4 linked regions of the Drosophila melanogaster genome follow. The protein of the gene in region 4 interacts with the protein of the main gene of each other region in a pairwise test. Each region holds a gene or a part of one and is shown on either strand. Other genes may lie near its edges. The genes, in order: CG14830, pasi2, CG8851 and Sec23.

The links.
Region 1: the proteins of Sec23 (region 4) and CG14830 interact in a two-hybrid assay, tested with the Drosophila melanogaster proteins (one large-scale study listed by BioGRID).
Region 2: the proteins of Sec23 (region 4) and pasi2 interact in a two-hybrid assay, tested with the Drosophila melanogaster proteins (one large-scale study listed by BioGRID).
Region 3: the proteins of Sec23 (region 4) and CG8851 interact in a two-hybrid assay, tested with the Drosophila melanogaster proteins (one large-scale study listed by BioGRID).

The regions. Positions count from the first base shown.
Region 1 is NT_037436.4:7,260,697-7,266,030, forward strand, and holds the start of CG14830 (uncharacterized protein), read right to left. Parts: upstream 3,225-5,334; 5' UTR 3,047-3,224; exon of another isoform or gene 2,936-3,046; intron 2,400-2,935; 5' UTR 2,253-2,399; intron 1-2,252.
Region 2 is NT_033777.3:9,333,340-9,338,468, reverse strand, and holds pasi2 (pasiflora 2), read right to left. Parts: upstream 3,300-5,129; 5' UTR 3,217-3,299; exon of another isoform or gene 2,973-3,216; 5' UTR 2,908-2,972; coding exon 2,834-2,907; intron 2,769-2,833; coding exon 2,630-2,768; intron 2,570-2,629; coding exon 2,440-2,569; intron 2,312-2,439; coding exon 2,217-2,311; intron 1,987-2,216; coding exon 1,750-1,986; intron 1,691-1,749; coding exon 1,589-1,690; 3' UTR 1,010-1,588; downstream 1-1,009. Other genes in the region: Aduk (uncharacterized protein), read left to right, coding at 3,872-3,958, 4,027-4,175, 4,524-4,748, 4,809-5,129.
Region 3 is NT_033779.5:3,517,527-3,523,382, reverse strand, and holds CG8851 (uncharacterized protein), read right to left. Parts: upstream 3,707-5,856; 5' UTR 3,672-3,706; coding exon 3,435-3,671; intron 3,162-3,434; exon of another isoform or gene 3,005-3,161; coding exon 2,075-3,004; intron 2,016-2,074; coding exon 1,011-2,015; 3' UTR 828-1,010; downstream 1-827. Other genes in the region: Sr-CIV (scavenger receptor class C, type IV), read left to right, coding at 1-239, 306-789; CG3213 (uncharacterized protein), read left to right, coding at 3,920-5,856.
Region 4 is NT_033777.3:5,646,878-5,653,451, reverse strand, and holds Sec23 (secretory 23), read right to left. Parts: upstream 4,388-6,574; 5' UTR 4,215-4,387; exon of another isoform or gene 4,094-4,214; 5' UTR 4,071-4,093; coding exon 3,792-4,070; intron 3,733-3,791; coding exon 2,483-3,732; intron 2,421-2,482; coding exon 2,267-2,420; intron 2,199-2,266; coding exon 1,650-2,198; intron 1,472-1,649; coding exon 1,448-1,471; intron 1,072-1,447; coding exon 982-1,071; 3' UTR 823-981; downstream 1-822. Other genes in the region: elm (ethanol sensitive with low memory), read left to right, coding at 1-200; MTA1-like (metastasis associated 1-like), read left to right, coding at 4,928-4,955, 6,237-6,398.

The sequences.
Region 1 (5,334 bases), on a different chromosome or scaffold from region 4:
ATCGAATCAGCCATCAGAAATCAGAAATCGGAGCCAAAACCGGTTGGCATCATTGATTCAATAAGCATTCAACTTAGCATCGATCTGCGAGTCGATAGCTGATTTATATAGCACGAATGCAACCGCGGAATGCCTGAATGTCTGAATGTTTGAATGTCGGATACTTTTTCGTATAATTTGCACGCAATGAATGTGCAAGCAACACGAGACATTAATTACATATATGTGATGATGACATCACCATCACCAAGTCATCTGTTGGTTTGCAGATTTCAATTGCATGCAGTCGCCTCAAATGTCAGATGAAAGTTGCAGTTGGTTGGATAATTCGTACCTGCATAATAGTTGGTTTGGTTTTTAGGTTCAGTTTTTAGTTGTCTTTCCGATTCACACGCAAACATCGAAAAATGAGTAAGACTGCGAAAGCTGGGAGTTGATTTATTTTTTTTTGCATATTTGTGTATAGTAACTTGACTTTATATAACCAACGTGCCGAAAGTGATTAGCTTTGATTGATTTGTGTTTTCTGATGAGTATTTTGCATATATACATTTGGGTATATACCCTCTTCGGTTAAATTTTACTGTGGCTTGGAGTCAATGAATCGCTAGTTTCTCGCTTAACACGTATACGCACCGTGTGCAGCTGCAAATTGGCCGTTTAAAACCTGTCTGCGCTGAACCGCAACAGCCGCAGCAGGATTACGTAACTTTCCCTGTATCTTGCGAATTACGCTGCTGACCATGAGCATCGGTTTTTAGCTGATAGCTGAAAAGCTATCTTTGCCAAAACTCTAATTGTTACCGAATTCGGCGCAATCACGAAACTCATAACTTCATGTTGACCCCAAACCAAAAATAAAAAATAAAAACGAAAAAAAAACCCCAGCACAATAAGAGACACAGAAAATTATCATTATTATCAAAACATTGTCATCAAACCAAAAGAAAAAAAAAAACAAGGGGGCTAAGAGAAAAACTAGAAACACTTGGCCGCTGGCGTTGGTTTTGAATTTCTAGCTGCAACTTTTATTGGATGGCCAGCGTGCTAAGCATGGCTGGCTTTTAAGCATAAACATGGCCAACGGCGAAGACACGAAGAAATAGTGCCGAAGAAAAATCCAACCAACTGAACAAGCAAAACCAAAACCAAAAGCAAGTTCTGTTATGCACAGTGGGTTAGTTACATGGGGGGTTTTTACTCTCATATCTGAACTATGGTAACTATGGGAGCTGCAGATACACCATATAGATAAGCCCATTGAAAACGCTTTTCCTAGCTTAATGATAATACTGGTTGGATAAGGGCTTATGTCAAAGCATTTCCTCGATATGCCTTTTGCCATCACGATTGTCACATTCGGGCGAAAAGTGAAAGCAATAAATGAAATGCATATAAGCACATTAAATTTCACTCATTGATCCATTTGGTATTGGCATTTGTACTGGTCTCACTATCGCCTAAAGGCAATTCCCCAGATTGCAGTCTTGCTGCCAAATGACCAAAGAGTGGCCTTTTCACTCGAATTTCCAACGGATTTCGGTAGCGAGTATCATTTTTGGTCCGTTGACAAATGACATAAGCACTCCTCCTGCGGCCATCGAAAGGCGAACAAACTGAACGACAAAAGACCGAAAATCGTGCTCATATAAGGCCAGTGTACCAGCCAACATTTGGCTGATACTTTCAGGGTCAACCGGTGCGTAATCAATGGAATCACCCACCCACGCAAAGGCAAAAGCTGAGTTCGGTTCAACGTTTTGCGGAAATTGAAACTGAAGGTGGATGGCAGTCTTAAGATGCTCGAAATGCAATTACACTGCGCCAAAAAGCAAATTGTTGGCAAATAAGCGAGTTGAGCATGCACTGGAAAAATTGATGTGCCCGAAAAATACTACAATAAGATGAAAATACTAGATGAATTTTAATATTTAGTTATAAATCAGCTTGATCCTAAGTCATTTAAAAACGAAATCATTAAACATATTGTAGTAGTATTGAACACACTTAAAAGTTTAAGCACTTCGTTTTAATTTGATTGTAATTTATATTCTCAAGTGAGTTTAGCTTATGTTCAGATGATCTAATTTAGATATGAGACATGTGTCCTTGGATTTTTCTCTCTGTATTCTCGTCTATGCATCCACACAACTTCCCTTCATATACATATATACATATATAGAGATATGGGAATGTATTCCGCGGCATGGTTGTGGGCTACAAAATAAATAAAAATACAAAAACTGGCTTACCTTCTCTCCTCATTGTTATACAGTTGAACTGGCCGTGCTGTTGGTATTGTTTCGCTTATTTATTGTTAACGCTTTTTGCCAGCCAATGCGACAGGTTGTTAGTTTTTGGCCGCTGTACACATTTCATTACACTTCACTTGGCTGCTGCTGCACCGAAAATCGAGAAAACAAACATTGCCAATGTGATTTGGTTGTGTGGAGAAAAATATTAATGTAAATTGGAAATATGAAGGCGATGACATCGTCGCCGCTGACGCTTTGCAAATGTGCTTGTGCGCGTGTGTGTGTGTGTGTGGGCCAAAAACCTTTACTAGTTCTGACCAAAATGGCAGCCAACACATTAATACACGGAATGATATAATCGCCAGCGCCGCCATGAATGAATGAATGAAAGGCGTTGCAGCTTCTCGCAAGTTGGCTCGAATCGGTCGGTGCGAGGCGGCCTAAACACAATGGCCAAGACATCGGAACTCGTCTAACTCGGCTCAAATCTTCTTGGCCCAGGCACTGTTTTACATTTTTGTTTCGCTTTTTGCGGCGGCACAGCAAATTGCAGCGCCATAATGAAATCGCCCATAATCTTGGCTAAGGCTAATAATAGCAGCAGGTTTTGGAGCTGGCCAACACACAAATACACACACAAACACACTCGCACACACTTTGGCTTAGACACAGACACATACAGATGGCGAGCAAATTTGGCCAGCACTCTGTTTGTTCTTTTCTTTTTCTTATTTTTCTCGCCAACAGATCGGGCGTATACTTCACGTCGAAAAAATTCAAATGACACTCACGTAATCCGCTAAAAATAGTTGCTTTTGCTGCGCGTTATTTATCTCAGATTTTTTTTTTTTTTTTTCGTTGGAGTAAAACTTTGTTTTGTTTGTTTGGCAATCGCGGAGATTGCAAAATGCACCGTGGTCCGGTGGGAAAAATCGAAGCGAACGCGTTGCGATCACGGCTCAAACTGATCGCTCGAGAGTTGCGACAATGTTCCAGCACCTGTGAGAGTGGTCTAAACTGGTCTAAAACGCGTCTCGAACCGGTTGCGCTCTTGGCCAACTCAATCCTCACTATCGACTCTTCGGGCTCTTTCCCAACTATACTCTCCCCATCTCTCTCACTCTCTGTGGCTTTCTTGGCCTGGCCGTGCCGGTCTCCACCATCTGCACTTTGCACTTTTGGCGACTGCATTTTGTTGTCAAACTGCAAAAACTGCATTTAATAACCGTTAACCGAAACTTCTGCAACACGTGCACTGCATTCGCACACAGAGAAAAAAAAGGTGACGAAAGATTCTCTTTCTATGAAATTCTTAGATAGAAGTTTAGAATTTTTTGGTGGTGGTATGATAAGTAAACTTATGGTTAGTTTTATAAGAAAATATTTAAAAGATGTTTTTTATTTTTATCTTTATTTAAATCATAGACTTTGATACTTTTACTTTAACATAAAATATAATCATCTTGCTTATAATTTGTCACATTATCTCCCTATGAATATTTTTTCAGTGCACCGGGAGGTAAAGTGGGTGGTGGGAGGAGTTGGTGTTGGTTGTGGTAGTGAGGGAGCGTTACAGGGGTTACAGGGAGGTGAACTGTATTGGGGGCTTACTACATTAGGCTCCACTGGCTGACAGGCACCGCTGTTGGCCAGCTGCCGCACGTGACTGTGCAATGCTTTTGACTGCTGGCTGGAGCATTGGGGGTCATGTTGGCTGGCGGCAGAAGTTGGGGGCTTAATTTGCATCATGTCATTAGGATGAGTGGCATCGATAATGGGGCCAGAGGCCCAACTCTCTGGGTCACTTTTCCCCGCACATCCCCCTCTCTCTGTAAACGTTTAAGGTTGCAATTTATACGCTGAATGGTATTCAAAATAGTCAGTCATGTAAAAAAAAAATATTACATGCCATATTTTTCGTACATTGTATGCATTTGTGTGAAAATATTGCGCGAAATTTTCAAACAACTTTCGTGCAACTTCCGTTTGCGCAGTTAGCATTAGTTTATTTTCTATTTTGCAATTATAATTTGAAAAAATATAAATAATGTATATATTATTTAAAAATTTAATTTTCATTTAATATGGCTTCCAACTGGACTGAAAAGTGTACTTACCAGCAGTTGTTTAACTTTCCTCTGAAACAGAGATATGTGAAATATTTGTTCACCATCTCCAGCGTGTCAAATCCTTACTAATTTTTTTATTTGCTCCGTACAGCGAATGTCGTCCTGTTCTAAGTTGGATATCTTTGATTCTGACACGAACAGGATCCTGTGCATACTTTGTGCATTGTCTATTTCAGGTTTTTCTCCTGCCAGCACTTTTTTTTTTGCACACACATTCAGTGTGCAGAGGTGGATGGACTTTTTTTTTGTTAAATCCCTCACTCGGTTCCTTAGGGTAGTAGTAGTTCGTAGTAGTTCGTTCGTTACTTTTTGTTGACTTTACGCATCAGGCGCAGCTCGAGAAGGTCTGGTGTTTGTTCTTTGGCACTGCAAGTCGTAAAAAGTTTTTTCGTCCTCGGCTGGTGTCATAAAAGTTGCATAAAACTGCACAGATTTCTCAGTCGTGAGTGTCGTGAAAAAGTTTAGATTGTGCCTTAAATACAATGAGACCATCTACATATGTACACTTACATATGTATCGTCTCAAAGGATCGCTTTAAGGTGACCCCTTTAAGTGGCAAAGTCGTTCGTACGTCATGTGCTTAAAATGGCTGAAAAAAGACTGGGAAAAATCGACGGGTTCGCATGTGTCGGGATTTAATTTAGATAAAAGCTTTTCCACACTTTCACTCCGGACCTTTGACGTGCACCAGATAATGCCTCAAATCAATTCCGTAAACATTTTCCCGGCCGCAACCCCGACAGCAAGACGACAATTTGTTTTCATACCTCTGACATTTGGACTGTCGTTGGGATTGATTCTAGCTTATCAGTAGATGAAAGTTCTCTGGAAAATTAAATTACTAACAAAAATAAATTACCTGCAAGCTGATAACAAATCTTACTCGTCTAGCAGCAATTACTTATCAATTAAAACGGATAGAAGTGATGATTGATTTCTGCTTGTCAAT
Region 2 (5,129 bases), 3.7 Mb from region 4:
GGTTGTTGTTGCTGCGTAGCTTGGTTGTTGCTGGATAAGGCAGCGGCGCATGCAACAAATTGCGTTCTACCAACAACAGAAACAACGGCATTCAGAGATGAGAGACAAAGGACCATGGGTGGATATTTTAAGCAAGAGTACTGTGTACTCCAATGGCACTTCCAAAAACGTTAACTAATTCGTTTTCTAAAATATTGACTATCTAAATATATCATTTAAAGTTCATCTAATCCAAATGTAATCAAATTTAAGCTTTTTGTTTAATTTATATAAACTGAAAAGGGATTCTTACTATGTTATTATATTTTACTATAAGTATTGTTGTCGTTGGTTCATTTTTTAATTGCACAAGATGGCAATCAAAAAAGATAAACGTTTCAGCCCTAAGAATAAGATAAGCACACAAAGGCCACAAAGAATCGCCACTCGATGACGTAGTTTGTTTTCCAGCTGAATTCCAAATGCAATTGTTCAAATTACCCCACTTGAATGAGGAAAGCAGAATGCTCTTAGAAAATATTCAGCATAGGAAAATGTGTGTGACACATAGGGTGGGAAAGCTCGAGCTTGGGGTTTATCACCGACACCACCAAGCAAATAGAAGCACGCATACAAATGCGTATGTGGATAGTACTACGAAATCGCCGGAGTTGTCGTCATCCATGGAATGATTAACAAAAACAGTTGATTGAACTTTGTTTGGCCTCCGCACATCCCACGGCGAATGTTTGTGCCCGTGTGTACTTGAAATGCCCCACTTTGCGGTGTGGGGCTAATAATTTCGGGTGTTAATGACCAGAGCACTGACACTCAACGCAGCAAACAAGTCCCAGCAATTGTGCTTCCAAGATTGATGGGCGGTCAGGAAATTCCAGATGCACATAGTGGGATCCCCTTTCGATTCTTTGGTAATTTCAAAAATCCCAACAACTTGCAGATTAACTTTTGCCATAAGGTTGAGACTTGAGCATCTATTGAACTTTTAAAAGAGCACTTTAAAGATACATTTCTTCGGAAAATTTTTGAAAGGATTTAATTTGAAATTGCATATAGAAAACAATAAAGTTTAAGGAATTTCTTTGAATTAGATTATCGTACATATCATTTTTTCGCTTGACGCAGATGAGTTCAGATGAACTGCTGTCAAATGTGGGCGTTTTTGGTTAACGCCCGAAAATGGACCCAACTGAAGTGTCATTAGACTCATATTTTCGGTTTCGTATTTTTTATATTGCTTGTCGCTTAATATTTTAGATACATAGCTACAATTCGGGTTGTACATCTATATATGAATATAAAAAACACGATATTTTGACATTCATACATAAAGACAGCGATTCTTCAACAGTATACAAAAAACATATGCGTTTGGACGGAATAGACTTACAACTAATTACGCTGATTCGCGGTTAAAATTTGTGGTATTCGAGAGGCGCATCTCTAAGGCACTAAACTGGTGGATGGAATGTACACTATAGTTTAAGCAATGTTTGAGTGCGAAGCATCAGGGTTATCTTGAGCTGCATTCGGACGGTCTAGATTGTGCAATTTCGTTGTGAGCCCCATAGATGGATGGCAAATACTTTTATTAGCCCACGGGCATGGTGGACACGGTGCTGTGAGGAGTGGTTGGCCGTGATCCTGCAAGTGAGTTTGCTGTCGATGCGTGCAGGGAAGCCATTGTGCCCATCTGGAAAGGTAATTATACTCATTAGTCATATTTCAGATATGATAACTTAATGAACGTACGCGTAAATGGGCTAGATCCTCCAGCTTGGTCAGATCCACCAGTTCCAAAAACAGAGAGTACACCACGGCCCATCCATATATAGACAGTACACAAAAAATGGTCCAAAGGAGCACCATAATCACATTGTAGGCAAAGTACAGATCATTGACAATGGCAAAGAAGATCAGTGCCAAAGCCCGCCAAACAGTAAATATGGCAAAGGACCACAGCCATGGCATAACCTTCCTCTCGTATTCCTATAGTAGTATTATAAAAATCATATATTATAATGGGTTTTAACAAAAAAAAACTTGTATGCCAATTGTTTGCATTTTGTGCTAATTTCTTCTTTATGACTGTGCAGAATGCGTTTGTTACCCTTTTGCTCAGTAAGCGTTTCTGTTCTCCCAGCTTTTTATGCTTTCGGGCAATGAGAAATGTAAATGAATTGCATGCAAAATCTGTAAGATTTCCAGCCCTAACTTACCTTGCGCAGAGCCACGCAGAGAAGGACACTGGTCACAAAGTTTATCAGCGCCATGATAAGCGAGAACAGGGCAAAGACAATGAGCATATTGCGAACTACAAATAATTCAGGTGGGTTATGAAAAGATATTTCAAGTTAAAACAACGATTTCCAATTCGATTTAAAATCGAAGAATACGATTCCAATTCGATTTAAAATCGAAGGATACCCCCATAAAGCTCACCATGCTTGTTGCCCACATAGACGAACTCATAGGATATGATGTAGTAGCCATAATGTGTGGATCCTGGCGCAGCCATAGCATAGCAGTAGATGTCAAAGATGCTCGTGGCGATGGTGAAGAGGGACAGAAACTGCAAGGGAGTTTTGTGTTACAAAAAAGAACTTTCTCAATAAGGATTTTCCGCTCCTACAATGGCAAACAATCCGACCAGCATGGCACCCTTCTGTATATCGATGTACTGATTGTTTTTAAGCAACGGTCGCTGGTACCAAGGAATCCTGACGGATCGCGTGGATCGGGACATCTTGGAGTGTAAATTCGTCGAGGATCTAGAAGATTATATATAGAAGATTAGCTTGGTCATATTACTATAAAGGTTATAAGGGAAACTTACCTTCCCGTGGCATGGGAATAAACCGACGGATTGGACCGATATGTGGAGGGCGTTTTCCTACCGTAATTCATCATGAAGCCTTTTAAGTCTCGTCACGTGTATAAGAAGGCAAGTCCTTTATCAATCCTTTAATCAGCTACTAAAACATTTGAAACATAACCGTTAGTAAGCGAGTTCTGTGGATTTTCGTTTATTGACCAGGGCGTGTTTGCTTAATTTGTGTATTTTGGGTGTGTCAAGCAAGGCTTAACGTTTTCGAAGACTTTAGCCGCGTTTTAAACACTTTCCAAGGTGGTTAACTACATATATTTTTATGTTATACTGTTGCAGTATCTGCAGAGGCTCCGAAAAACAATAATTGAAATACCATAGCATTTATTTACCCCAAAAAAACGAAATATTAATCACCACGCAACGCATCAAAAACAAAACATACGAATCAGGGCTTAGATATTTCCAGGGATGCGATAAGCAAAAGTAGCAAATACCGATAGAGCAACAAGTGCTATCGATGTTGTCAGCATTGGCTAATCAGCTGTGCAGTTGGGCGCCTGTTTATTTATCAGTTTAAATGTAATATAGGATATAAGAAAAATGATTAAATTGGTATTCATAACTGAGATGCATATGGTTACGAGACGTTCAGTTCATAAACTTATAAAATTGAAAAAAATAATATAGATTTGGTTCATTGTAAATTTGAAGTTATTGCCATGTTTATAAAACAACATAACCGAACTTCATTTATGTCTGCTGGATTAGTTAAATCATATATACATTTTAATTCTGATTCCTGAGTAAAAACTTTTTATATATTCAACAAAATCAAATTTTTTATATCGCCGAATGATTTAAATTCGATTGATTGCTATCGATTTGTTTCAGCAATTTCACTGTGATATCGTTAAGAATTGCGAAGCCCTGGATTGCGCGCGCGTGTGTGTGTGAGCAGAGGAGAGCGAAAACAATCGACCAATGGAAAACATAAACATATAATTTTAAAAATATTTGGTATCAGAACTAGATGACCGGCCCAACATGTCACTGCCGCGGATCACGGACTTTGAAATTCTCGAGAAACTTGGAGCGGGCAGCTATGCGACCGTGTACAAAGCGCGGCACAAAGTGGGACACCAGTTACATACACATCACATAGAGCAAAGGGTCTTAATATTTACGTTTTGTCATTGCAGAAACAGCGCACTTATCATGCCATCAAGTATGTGGAAATGTCGACGTTGTCGCAAACCTCGCGGGAAAACCTAATCACCGAAATACGCCTCCTCCGGGAACTCAAGCACAAGTACATTGTGACCCTGCAGGATTTCTTCTGGGACGACAAGTATGACATCGTTCCATGCAATCAGTCGATGTTCATCCTTCTAGAAGGATTAGCATATATGTAGGAGTTGACATGGTGGCAGGATTAGCTAACAATCCTCTATAGCTCTACTCCTACTATGTATATGTACATAAAAAACGTTTGGTTCTTTAGAGTTCTTCAATTCAAATGATAGTTTTGTACACTTATTCTACTCAAGACATACTCAGTTACAAGGAACGGGTTCCAACAATTAATCATCCAGTTTTGACCAATTCAGCGGAACTAGTTAATTGAAATCGATTTTCGTTAGAAAACATACTAGCAATGAACAGAATTAAGAATGCTACAATGTCTACTTTATTTCAGAAATATTTACATCGTTTTGGAGTATTGCAATGCCGGCAATCTATCCGCTTTTATACGAACCAAGAAGGCATTGCCGGAGAGCACCTGTCGCTACTTTTTGCGCCAATTAGCTGCCGCTGTGCAGTACATGCGAGCCAACGATGTGTCCCACTTCGACCTTAAGCCACAGAACCTGCTGCTTACCCGGGGAGCTAACAATGTGTCCCTGAAGGTGGCAGACTTTGGGTAGTTAGCCAAATAGCATTACAATAGATACTTTATACTAATAATTCTAGTTTGTTGTAGGTTTGCTCAGCACCTCAAACTAGGCGAAATCAATCAACAGCTGAAGGGATCGCCGCTCTACATGGCCCCAGAGATTGTGCGCAAGCATCAGTACGATGCCAAGGCGGATCTCTGGAGCATCGGGGTCATCCTCTACGAATGCCTATTCGGCAAGGCGCCGTATAGTTCGCGAACCATTGAGGAGCTATTGCTGAGGATTAGGAAGGCCGAGGCCATAACACTGCCACCAAACGCTCGGATCAGCAACGAGTGCCATGATCTCTTGCGCCGCCTTTTGGCCCACGAGCCCACGGCGCGCATTTCGTTTGCAGACTTCTTTGC
Region 3 (5,856 bases), on a different chromosome or scaffold from region 4:
GGTCCCCAAAAAGATCACACGTTCCAAAACCAATCCATCGGACACTACGTGCGCATGGAGACGGAAAGCGATGCTTTTGGAACCTACCACTTCCTATCGCCACTGTATCCCAAGGAGCTCAGTTTGAGTGGCGCCTGCTTCCAGTTTCACTACTTCATGTTCGGCAGCGGAGTGGGTAGCCTGCTGGTGTCCATAAAACCCGTTTCGGTGACTATAGGAGACATATTTAAAACAAACCAGTGAGTTGCTTACTAATTATCTTATCTAGAATTAAGTTTGCCTTATACAGCAATATGATTTTTTAGTCCCTACAAGTTCGACCAATTCGTGATGACTGGATCACAAGGTGCCAGGTGGCTGGAGCACACGATCGATATCAATAAGATGGATGAGGACTTCCAAGTGATCTTTACCGCCACGGATGCGAGGTCCCAATACGGAGATATTGCCATCGACGACGTGAAGCTGATGGCAGCTAAGGAATGTGCCAGGAGGTCTACCTTCATCGAGGAACCAAAAAAACCAATAGAAGAATCGGATATCACGGATTCACTGGGCTACCAAATGACCGACTGCTCTGGTCGTTGTGGTCAGGACTTTGTTCGGGGAAGGTACATCAATGAAGGGTGTCGATGCCAAGAATCATGTCTGGTGAACGGCAATTGTTGCCTAAATTATGTCAAGGAGTGCCATAAAGATCTGGTCATAGCTCCGTATAATGAACTCAAATTCTGGAGGCTTTGGAATCTTTGGAGCGGTGATAGTAATGTGACTGTCGTACCTAAATAAGTTCCTATCCCAATACATTTAACCGAATCATTAAAAGTACTTTTAAAAATGAGTTTACATAATCATTAGAGTGAAATAATTGGTGGCTTAATAAGGGCTGATAATGTCCAGGCAACTTGATGGCATAGTCCAAGTGCTGGGAGCAGTACCTTCAAGTTGCCTGGACAGCTGATGAGCCCAATCTAGTGCCTAGGTCTAGGCAGTCCAGTCCAGATCCCCGTTTAGATCGTCGCCTTCAGAGTTCGGGGGGCTGCAAATCGACCGTTGCTGGTTCCCTGGGGCAGCTGATTGATCCTGATCAGACTGGGTCGATGGGAACCACCTGATGTCAAGTGGGCAATGCCAGCCGACCCACTGCCAACGATGCCCGTGCCACCCTGATTCGTCATGGAGTAGATGTGCCGCCGGAGAACCCTTATGTGTTTCTGCGAGACCTCGAAGTTGTGGACCAGGGTGTGGAGTTGCGTCTGGAGCTCAGCTATCAGACTATCCCGTTCCTGGATCAAACTGGACGTCGAGTTTTGGCTCCTACTCAGCTTCAGTTCGAGGTCGTAGATCTTCTTCTGCAGATCCCTGCGCTGCTTTTCGCTCTGCTCGCGATGGCGGGAAAGTTGCCTTTTGCTGCTCGCCTGGAGCTGCTCCAGCTGATCCTTCATGGTGGACAGCTCCTGGGTCAGTTTCCGCTTCTCCGTCTTCAAGGCCGAGTTGTAGTTCTTAAAGATCTTCAGATCCCTTTCGGCGGCCTTCAGCCGGTTGATGGTGACCAACTTTCGGCGGCCCAGTTCATCTATTTTGACCTTCAGCTGCATGGCTTCCTGTTGGAGGGCATGAAGTTTATCCGCCAGCAGACAATTTTCCCGCATTACCGTCTCGTACTTGGAGTGCTCGTCTCGCATCATCTTCGGCAAATGGGAGACACTTTTCAGTTTGTTGTCTATCTTGGATCGCAGACTGTCTATGTCATGGTAGATGCTCGACTCCAACTGCTTGTTATTCACGTGCAGCTTCTCGATCTCCTGCTTCTGGGTGCTCATGATGTCCTGGGCTTTCACACACCGCGTGTGGTAGTCCGATATTCTCTCCTGCTGCTGCCGAATGAGAGTTCGAAACTGGACCTGCTCGCTCTTCAGTCCCTTAATGGTGGTAAGGAGCTGGCTTATATCTCCAGAGTCCCTGTCCCTGTCTCTGTCCCTACCTCGATCCCGTTCATGCTTGTACTTCTGATCCTGATTAAGGAAGAAGGTTTAAGTTTTTATATTCCATTTAGCTAACAGCTAATTCATACCTGTGAGGTGTTGATCACATCCTTCAGCACATTGTACACATCCTTGAAGGATGCTGGCTCCCTTTCCCGATCGTCCTGCTCCAAGGATCTCTTCCTGCGCTTCACGTGACGGTTCGCCAGTGTTTCCACAATACGGCTGTCAAAAACGCTGTTCACCTGTGATGGCAGATCGTCCTTGTGCCGATGGTGATTCTGCTGATGAGTACTCCTTTCGGACGCGTATTTCTTTCTATCGATTTCGTCGCAGGAACTCTGGCCCGATAGAACGGTCATGAAACTGGTATTGCTGCGCAGGATTTGGGGGCTCTTTCGTCTGATGGTCGTCTGCGAGGTGACACTGCTGGCAGAGCTATAAAATCCATCCGGATCGGGCTCACTTCCCAGATCCATTTGCTGGGCCTGCTTCCTGCTGGACACGAACTGATCGTGCTTCTGCTGCATTTCGCACAGCTCGTAGTTAATTTTCATGTACTTCTCCTCCAGATCCTTGGTGCTTTCGTTGTAGTCCTTGAGCTCCTGCTTGTACTTGCAGAGTTCCTCCTTTAGCTTGCTGCCAAGGGCTTCCGAGTCTGGCAACCTCCTCTTCGAGCCCAAACCCTTTCTGTAATCTTCCGGCTCTTCATCACTCATGATTAGGCTGACCTCCTTACCTTCCCTGCTGTTCTTGGGTAATTTTGTTATACTGGGACTACAGTGGTCCCCGAAGTCCAAGCTACTGGCACTTCTCGTATCTAGTACTTTGGAGCTCGGCCTGGAGAGGCTGACATAGCTACTCTTTTCATTTTCATCTGCCTGATCTTCGTTCTTCTCATCCAGCTCGAAGTCCAGTCCCATTGAGGTGTTACTAGATGATGTTCCTTTGCGATTCTGTGGACGGAATCGAAGTGATCGTTGTCTGTTGGCTAATGGTCGCCTGGATGGCTTTAACATCTACGAAAATTTAGCCTATTTGGTTAATGTTGCACTTGTGTAATTTTTTGCACTGTTTTTGGCGAACAGAGAATTTTTTTAAAAACCTTATGTGACACATTCAATTCCCAAAAATATTAATTTTACGTAGGACGTGACGAAAATTATTTGATAGAAAATTGGGCGTTACGCCTACTCGAATGGCATTTGCCTTCTGGAAAATATCGCTGTTCGAGGATTGATTATATCCTTAAGGTTTATATAATAGTTTTAGATAATAAACCACATCTCCCAGTAGAGTGATAATTTATATATGTATATTCCTACTGATTGCCCTTTAAATTTCCCATTTCACCGTAAAACATTTTCATACTTTTATGTTAGTAAAGGATACAGGTAGATTCTCATAACATATTTTCGAATAGATTTAAAATTATTTATTAAGATATACCATTTCCTTCAAGTCGCACTGTGTTTTGATTTTGAACCAATTCAAGTAGCGGCAGTAGTAAATATAGTTGTTTGTTTCGCCGAATAGATGCCTCGATACACACTCCTCCCGAAGGACACATTCCTGACCATCCTGGGAGGGAGGACTCCGGTAATCCACCTCGACAAAGCAAGTCCTCGATCCCAATCCAGTTCTCCGGGATCTTTCGTTCGATTCTCCCAAGTCGAAGCAGGCCATTCCAAATCTGTTGCCAACTGCCCAGGGCGAATGTCCGTGGATTTTTCAGTTCATTTTATTCGATCACGAAGAAAACAACTTATTCTTCCCAAAACTTGTTTCGAAATTTTTTCAGAGTATGTGTTAAAATTTTCGCAGAATATACGTACCTTAAAATCGTTAGTAAATCTAGCCAAATATAAAAAAAAAAAAAAAAAAATTTTAACCATACAATTTTTGGCCGCATCGATAAGTGAATCTAAATCGCGATGGCAGAGAACACAGAGTACACCGATGAGGGCGGCGAGTACGAGGACGATGAGAACCAGTACCTTGGCGAACAGCACATGATGGAGGAGGGGCCCGACGAGGACCTCTTCTCCAAGCTGGGCGAGTCCTCCGACGATCCCGAGCAGAAGCGCATGTACATGGAGTACCTGGCGCTGATCAAGGAGATCGATTGCCAGAACAAGATCATCCAGGACATCAAGAGCAACATCATGGACATGTGCGCCAAGCCCTGCAAGACCCGCAACGAACTGCGCGAGATCAAGCGGTTGAGGATTTGCATGGAGCAGGAGAACATTAAGCTGCACACCATGATGAACAGAGCGGTGCAGCTGCAAAACTTCGGCTCCCATCGGCACTACAAGGAGCTGGCCATGACCACCACCGTCGACGAGGACAACCTGTCACCGTATATGTGTGGCATCGGTCCTTGTGCTCCAGCTGGCAGCGCCACGGATCCCTGTAGCGAAGAGCCTAGCTCGTGTGCCAGTGTTTGTGGTGGCGGCGGAGGCGGTGGAGGTCAACGGGACATGGCTGGTCAGGACGACAAGTTGATCTGCGCTCTGCAAAAGGCCATGCAGAAGATGAAGGGCGCTTGTCCTGAGGACAAGAAGATGATCGAAGAGATCGCCTGCGCTATAATGAGCTGCAAGAAGCAGCCGGTATGCGTTCCGGGTCCCTGTCCGCCACCACCCTGTCCGGGTCCTTGCCAAGGTCCTTGCCCGGAGAGCAGCAGCAGCAGCATTGCCCCATGTCCTCCTCCCTGTCCAGCCAAACGGAAGGCTCAGAAGGCTCCCTGCCCCCAGCCCCAGCCCCAGCCACCGGGCAAGTGCGAGTCCTTGGAGAAACTGAAGCGGCGCATCCAATGCATGCAGACCTCGGTGAAGAAGTTGCTCCAGGAGGTGAGCAATCGGGATGCGTCCGAACCCTGTGACGTCGACGACGATGACGATGAAGGAGAGGAGGACCCCTGCTCCAGGCCGTGTCCTCCCAGGCCGCCGTGTCCCGAGGATCCAGACCCACTGGTCATCTGCGGCGGAAAGCGGAACACCAAGGCCGACAAGTACGAGAAGATGAAGGAGAACTACACCAGGCTGCTAACCGAGTTTCAGCGCAAGGACTGCCAGATGAAGGAGATGCAGAAGCGAATGAAGGGTATCTGTGGTCCCTGTCCATCGAAAGGGGGCGACGGGGATGCCGATGCCGCCGAGCTGAATCTACTTCGAGCGCGGGTCAACGAGCTCAAGGAGGAGCAGCTGGAGTTCAAGTGCATCATGAAGGAGCAGTCGCAGCAGTTAGAGGACTACCGCAACAAGTACCTGCTGGCCCAGCAGAAGGTCGAGGAACAGTGCGTCTCCCTAGAGAAGCTGAACATGAACAACAAACGAATCGAACAGCAGATCAACACGGAGGTCAAAGAGATTCGAGCTAAGTTCCAAGAGAAACTGAACGAGTTACTGCACTTCCCCAAGCTCTTAGAGAACGAGCAGCTGAAGCTGGCCCAGGTTTGCAAGGAGAAGGATGAGATGCAGACGAAACTGGTGGTGGTCTGCAAGGAGCTCAAGGCCTGCAAGACGCAGATGGAGCAGCAACCCAACGTCGATGTGCGACCTCAGCTGGCCCAGTGCCAAATGGAACTGACTCAGGCCAGGAATGAACTGGAGGAGCTTCTCCGACAGAGGGATCTCTTCTGCGAACAGCTCAAGTCCACCCAAGACGATCTGGACACTCTGCGAACTGAATCCGCCAAGATCATAGCCGGCACCAAGGAACGGGCCGAGCTGATCAAGTCCCAGCAACAGGAACAGATCAATCGGCTTGAGAAGGAGTTGGCTCAGTGCCGAGCAACTGCCTCGCTGTCGGTCAACGATCGGGAGGCTGTCATCCGCGAGATGCAGGGTCAACTGAACACACTCTC
Region 4 (6,574 bases):
TCAGCAGAGACGAGCTGCTCTCCATCCTGCACATGATGGTCGGGGCGAACATTAGCCAGGACCAGTTGGTCAGCATTGCGGAGAGGACGATCCTGGAGGCGGACCTGTGCTGCCAGGGCAAGATCTCGTTCGAGGACTTCTGCAAAGCTCTGGACCGCACCGACGTGGATCAGAAGATGTCCATACGGTTTCTCAACTAGGCTAGCTGGATGCGGCAATCACGAGGAAAGAGCGACCTTCTTAGTCAGTGTGTACCAAATAGTTTAGGATGCAGTTAGTCGAGAGGCATTCCGGCGGGTTACTGAAAACTCTAATGATTTGAAAGCAGTGGTTGCTATTCTTATTATACCAGTTGTGTTTTCCAACCATTTAGAAGTTTCAATTTAATGAATGAAAATGAAAGTGTCGCAAAGTTTTTTAAACCTGAGTAATTTGCCCAAAGCTTATCGAAGATATTTCATTCAAGTTAAACAAAAAATGCATATGTTTGATCACGGGTGCTAGAGAAATACAGAAAAATATAACCAATTGCTTGGTATCTAAAAGTTAAATGCGTCCGGAAATTTGATCAAATATTTATGATAAAAATATAAATAAATCTTTTGCTGTCTTATATTACAAAAAAATAATTTTTACAAATCTTGTAGGTTTCAGGAACCCGTCGGATTTACTTGTATTAATAGTTGTTATGAAGAATGAAAGAGATGCTCATTTCATTTTGTTAATGCCTTGTTTTTATAATTACAAACTCATTCCGCTCAACGTAAATTCTAATTCAGCTGCTTACGAATAAAAGCATCGCGGATTAACACACTTATTGTTGAACATAATTTGAATAGTTTATTGCGTTATAAGACGATCAATTGGAATAAGTGGTTGTATATTCGTAATTTCATTGCCTGGACCATTGATTCCAGGTGTCGTTCGCCTTCTTCGACTTCGCCAGGGAAGCAAGCGCCTGAAACTAGAGCCAGAGTCGATTTATGTGGTGGTGGACACAGCCAGCTTCTTGAGGTGCTCCATGAACAGCTGCAGCGAAACGTCATCCGTGAGCACTGGAGCCCCGCCATCCTGTCGAGATAATGTCCGGAAAATTAGTCATGCGATGGGTGGGTGGGATCGTGCCAAGTGGGGAGGGGAGGATGAATGAAAAAGGGATACAAGCACCTAGAAGGGTCCAACACCAAAAGCCACTTATATATAAATCATGTTTGAAATTATTAAAAACAATATGAAAAAATAGGAACAGACAAAATCTTTGCTTAGATTAAGCCGTGTGGGGTTGGCCATCTTAGATTTATTGCAAAATCCAAAACACTTATTTTGGACTTATAGCTATCAAGAGCAAAGGACATATCCAATTTCCAAAGATTTTTTACCCGCCCCTTAAATTTCAAATATCCACCTTTCCACCAGTTTAAAAGTTGAAAATTAAACAAATATGTACTACCGTGACTTGACCGATGGGCGCCTGCGATTGACAAAGGAGCGGTTACGGATACGGGTACGGATTATACAATGAGAGAAACAAAACCAACATAAAACGAGATTGAGATTTCGATTGAGATTAAATTTTCGATGACGCCAAATGGAGCGCTGCAAAGATCAATCAAATGTGGCCAGTTGATGGCGCTGGCTGCGAGACTCACCTGCCCGTAGGCGTACATGTTGTTGTGCGTCTGCGAGGGATTGACCTTGGACAGCAGGAAGCGGGCCTGGGATCCGCCGTGCTCCGTATCGATGTAGCGAGGCATGGGGAAGCGCGTCTGAAGAATCTCTTGCGCGTCGTCCACCGGTGCTTGCAGCAGCTGCTTGAAGTTCTCGTACTCTGGCATGTCCTGGTATTTGAGGGCTCTCCACTGGGCGATGGTCTCGCCGTGGTAAATCAGAATCTGAAAGAACGTGTCCATCAGGAGGATGCGATCCGCCTGGATGGAAGCCGTATCGAGGAGGACCGGTTCTGGAGGGCCGTTGAACGAGTAGCTGTAGAGAATAGGCTGGATCATGATCAGCGATTGGGTGAGGTCCTCGCGCATTAGCATGTGTCGATAGAATGTGGTCTCGTCGGGCGAGTTGTTGAAGACCTGCAGGAACTGCGAGCGGCGCAGGTGGTACATGAATTGCGGGAATAGGCTGAAGTTTTGCGACAGCCTGAAGCTGTTGGGATCGTCCTTTGAGTACTCGCCGAACTTTTGGCACTGTAAAAGGAAAGCATTTACAATACTAATTAATTGGGCACGAGTAATTTTGCACATTGAAAACTTACCAGACGAATCAACTGACGATCGACCCAGCGCAGAATGTCGGGTCCTTCGTCAGTCTCCGCACGATAGACGACCATACGGGCCATCAGAACTGCGGCGGCCTCCTGATCGAAGCCAGCGCTGATGTGGTGCACGTTCGAGGTGGCATCGGCCCAACTGAAAAACAAACAGATTGAACCACGTAAGTAAACTCTGGGCTGATTTATGCCAACACATACTTTCTGGCCAGTGTGGTAACTCGGATTCGCCGCTGTCCACTTGGGTGCTGGTACTGCGTAATGAACTGTATGCAGCCACGCCCGCCCTGCGGAATGGGGGCTGCATGCTGGTTGACCACCTCAAAGAAGTAGGCTACGGTGGAGCTGGGATTCAATGTGCACAGCTTCCACTGCACCGTGTTGCCCATGCCGATCTCCACATCCGACACCGACGGGCTCTTCACATTCAGCGACACACACGAGCCGATGCCACCGGAGATCTTCAACTCGCGCGAGCACTTCACCTCCAGCGTGGCATTGAAGGCCATCTTCAAGTCGTTGCGACCATCACGTGCGAAGACGCGTTGGAATGTCTGCTTGAAGAGCGATGAGTTGAACGAATCGCCCATGACCATGTGGCCGCCAGTGGAGTTGCATAGCTGCTTCATCTCCAGCAGTCCGGTTTGGTCCAGGGCACACGAGTATATGTCGACACTATGCCCGTTGGTGGCTGCCCGCAATGCCAAAGCATCATAGTGTTTGATAGCCTTCTTCATAAACCGCACGTTGTCCTTGTGGATGTCGTGATGCGAACGAATCGGGTGCTTCAGCTCGTCGTCGACCACCTGGCCGGGGCCCTGGGAGCAAGGGCCACCCACGAAGGTCATAATGCGACCGCCCGTATTGGGATAAGTGCACTCCAACAGGCCCACCGCAATAGATAGGGCGGCACCAGTGGAGCGCAGGTAACGCTTGCCCTGCGGCACCGGCCAAGGATCGCGTTGCAACTCGCTAAGCAGATCGCCCAGCGCCGCGTCGCACTGGCCGATCGGTTGCAAGAAGCGATGGGCGGGCGGCACAGGGGCCGCCGCTCCAGCCGGCTGGCCGGGCAGGTGCTGCTGTTGCTGCGGCCCCGGAGCCGCTCCACGCCCAATTCCGAGCATATCCTGCACCTGCTTGGCAGTCAGGTCCTTGGTACCACGAAACACATAGCTCTTAGAGCAGCCTTCCGCGCCCAGCTCGTGCACCTGTATCATTTTTCCGAAGGTTATCAGACCCACGAGAGCGTTGGTTGGCAGCAGACTTAGCGACATTTGCAACGAATCCTTGAGGGCGTCCAGCTCCTCCTCGTCCATGCAGGTGTCAACCAGGAAAATGAAGACGGGCGGCATGGTGGGGGCCCGTGTAATAGTATACTCAATAGTGCTGAATCCCGGAATCAGCTCCGCTGGTTGGTGCTGCTCGGAAATGGCAGCATATTGAGGGGGAAACTGGAATAATGACTGTCATAAACTGCCGCAGAGAGTCTAAAGATCACCATTGAGCTCACCGGATTGCGCTGAAAACAGAAGTTGCACACCCACAACTTAGCACGGTAGTCCACCTGGCACAGTGGATTCAGGATGGCCCTGCAGTTGCTGCGAGTGCACAAGACCGGCTCATATTGAATAGGCGGTAGGTCGGGGCGCTCCTTCAAAGGCTGGTAAAGACAAGCTAGGGGCACCACCAGCCGACTGGCTTCGATGCGACTTGAGGGCCACACATTCCACGTCAGCCGCACTCCGTCGCGGTCCTCGTTCTGCTGGATGAACTCCTCGTAGGTGGTCATCGCCGGAACACTTAAATGTAATACTTAAATCGGAAAAACCTCTGTTAGACCTCTGCCAATTGGAAAAATCGGTCGGTCAGGCCACGTCACGGATTGACAGCGAGTCGTGACACCTTTCGTGCTGGCGACGGCCAAAATACTCACGCGAAAGTAAACAAATTCGCGAGATGAGTCTTTAAGAGGCTCTTCAAATCAAAGCACTCACTCTGGAAACAATTTATACAAACGTACAAAACGTAGAAACCTAGACTACGAACTATTACAGAATTTTAAGTGCAAACGTTGCATGTTAGGGAAGACAGTTTTCAAGCGATACTATCGCATGCGCCCCATGCGATTGAATGAATGTTTTAATATGAGAAAAAAAGGGTGAAAATAAATATGTTTTGAAAATGATAAATAAAACAAGGTTCGCCCATAATTTTTTCAGTTAATTTTCTTAATGATATATATTGTTATTCAAGAAGTATATATAATATAAATAAATATAAATCGTATTCCTAGAAAAGCCCCTTATCGTTTTTCTTATCGCCCCAACTAAATTTTAACATTAAGTTTTTACCCAACACCCCATGTATCGATTGCTATCGATGGCCAAACTATCGCACCGTGGAGTGCATCCCTGGTGCAGCTGTTTACTCGGCATTGTGTGTGTGTGCGTGTATTTTTTAGAGTTGAGTTGTTTCTAAGATGGCGACGAAAAAAACGCGTCTTCTTATGTGAAAAATGCAATCATAACAACTCGAGTTTTCTGCTAATAAATGTGCGCTAGTTTGGAACAGGACCATTGAAAAACAGTGCTAAGCGTGTGCCGAGTGTTTTGCATGTGAAAGTTTTGGTGCGGTAGCGTAGTGAAAATGGCCACAAATATGTATCGAGTCGGAGGTGAGAAAAATTTTCGCGTACTCGCTTTTCTATCATCTTTCGTTATCGGCGCCGCCGTTTCACGGTGTGCGTGTTCGCTTCTGCATATGTGTGTGTGTGTCCAATGTGTGCGTATGCGTGTGTGTTGTGTCTGAGGAGGCTTTCCAACAATAACGAAAGTGCATTTTAATTGCCGAAAACCCTTTAGTGGGAGACCCGACGCACGTGTATGTGTGTGTGTGTGCGTGTATTATCAATCTCAAGAACAATCCGTCGAAAAGGAGAGACCTTTTCTATTTTTTTTAACTTCTTTGAAGGAGCCCCCTGCTGCTCTTGTGTCGCAGCTGCAGCAAGTGTTTTCGACGTGTTCCAACCGATAAGCATTAACTTATGCCCTAAGTGTATGCGTGTGTGTGTATTCTAGGGCTGGGGAACTGAATTGCATTTGCATTTGGATTTGGTTTTGCCGAATTGTGATCTCTCCAGCGTGTGTGTTTGTTTGACTATGTGCGAAAGTGTATCTCACTTTTGGGCTCACCGCCCACCCGCCTTTTTGTGTTTTCATATGCTAATGAGCTTTTGAGCATCTCCCCCCATCTCACGCCTCCCACTCCTCACCCTGCCTGACGCACTTTCTGTTAGCCATCTCGCTCGCGCTCGAGCGGTGACGTTATTGTGTTGTCTTCACCTGATTTTCGCAAGTGTGTGGGTGTGTGTGCTCTTTCGAAATGCAAATAAGCTCGGTCGGATACGCAAGCTTTCAATTAACGGAATCAAAATAAATATTAATGGCATATATACTTGTCGAATTATCTGCTCTTTATCGCCGAGAACTTTTTGTCTCCATCGGCGTTTTTTGTTAGCCGTTTTTAATGGCCACGCACACAGTTACACACCTTCGGCAATGCTTTCTCGCTGCCTCCACACTTTCTTTTTCATCTCTCTTCATCTATCTACCCATCTATCTGTGTATCTGCATCCCAAAATGTAGCAGAAGTGCACACGACGTTTGTATCTATGTATGTATGTACATACAGATAAACGGAATTTCTTTTATTTTTTATAATAGTCAACGACAGGTTCCGCTGCAGTTGTTGTAGGTATAAAGTTATATGGATGGATAGACCCATATGTATTTAATTGCGCTTTAGCTGGTAGTGGTGGTCGCACTTAGGTGGATGCGTGTATAGGTGTATGTGTGCGCTTACCTGTGACGTATTAATGGAGTTGCAGCCCCCCACCCTTCCATGCCCTTTTCTGACCCTTTTGCATCAGCCACCTCAAAAACTGTTTTTTTTTCAGACTATGTTTACGTTGAGACAACGCCGAACAGTCCCTACTTAATACGACGCATCGAGGAGCTGAACAAAAACCAAACCGGCAATGTGGAAGCGAAGGTCATGTGCTTCTACCGCCGCCGGGATCTGCCCAATCCGCTCGTGCAATTGGCCGACAAACACCAACGTGAGTAGAGAAACCCTGTTCCCTCGAAACCGCATCCATATCTTGCGTTACGTTACCTCTAAGTGTGTATATTTATTGTCAACAAAGTGAGGTTATGTTGCCAAGAGTCGTTGTCGTGGCCTTCAAACAAGTTAAGAGTTAAAACCTGACGACCAGATCTGCTAAGCACATGCCCA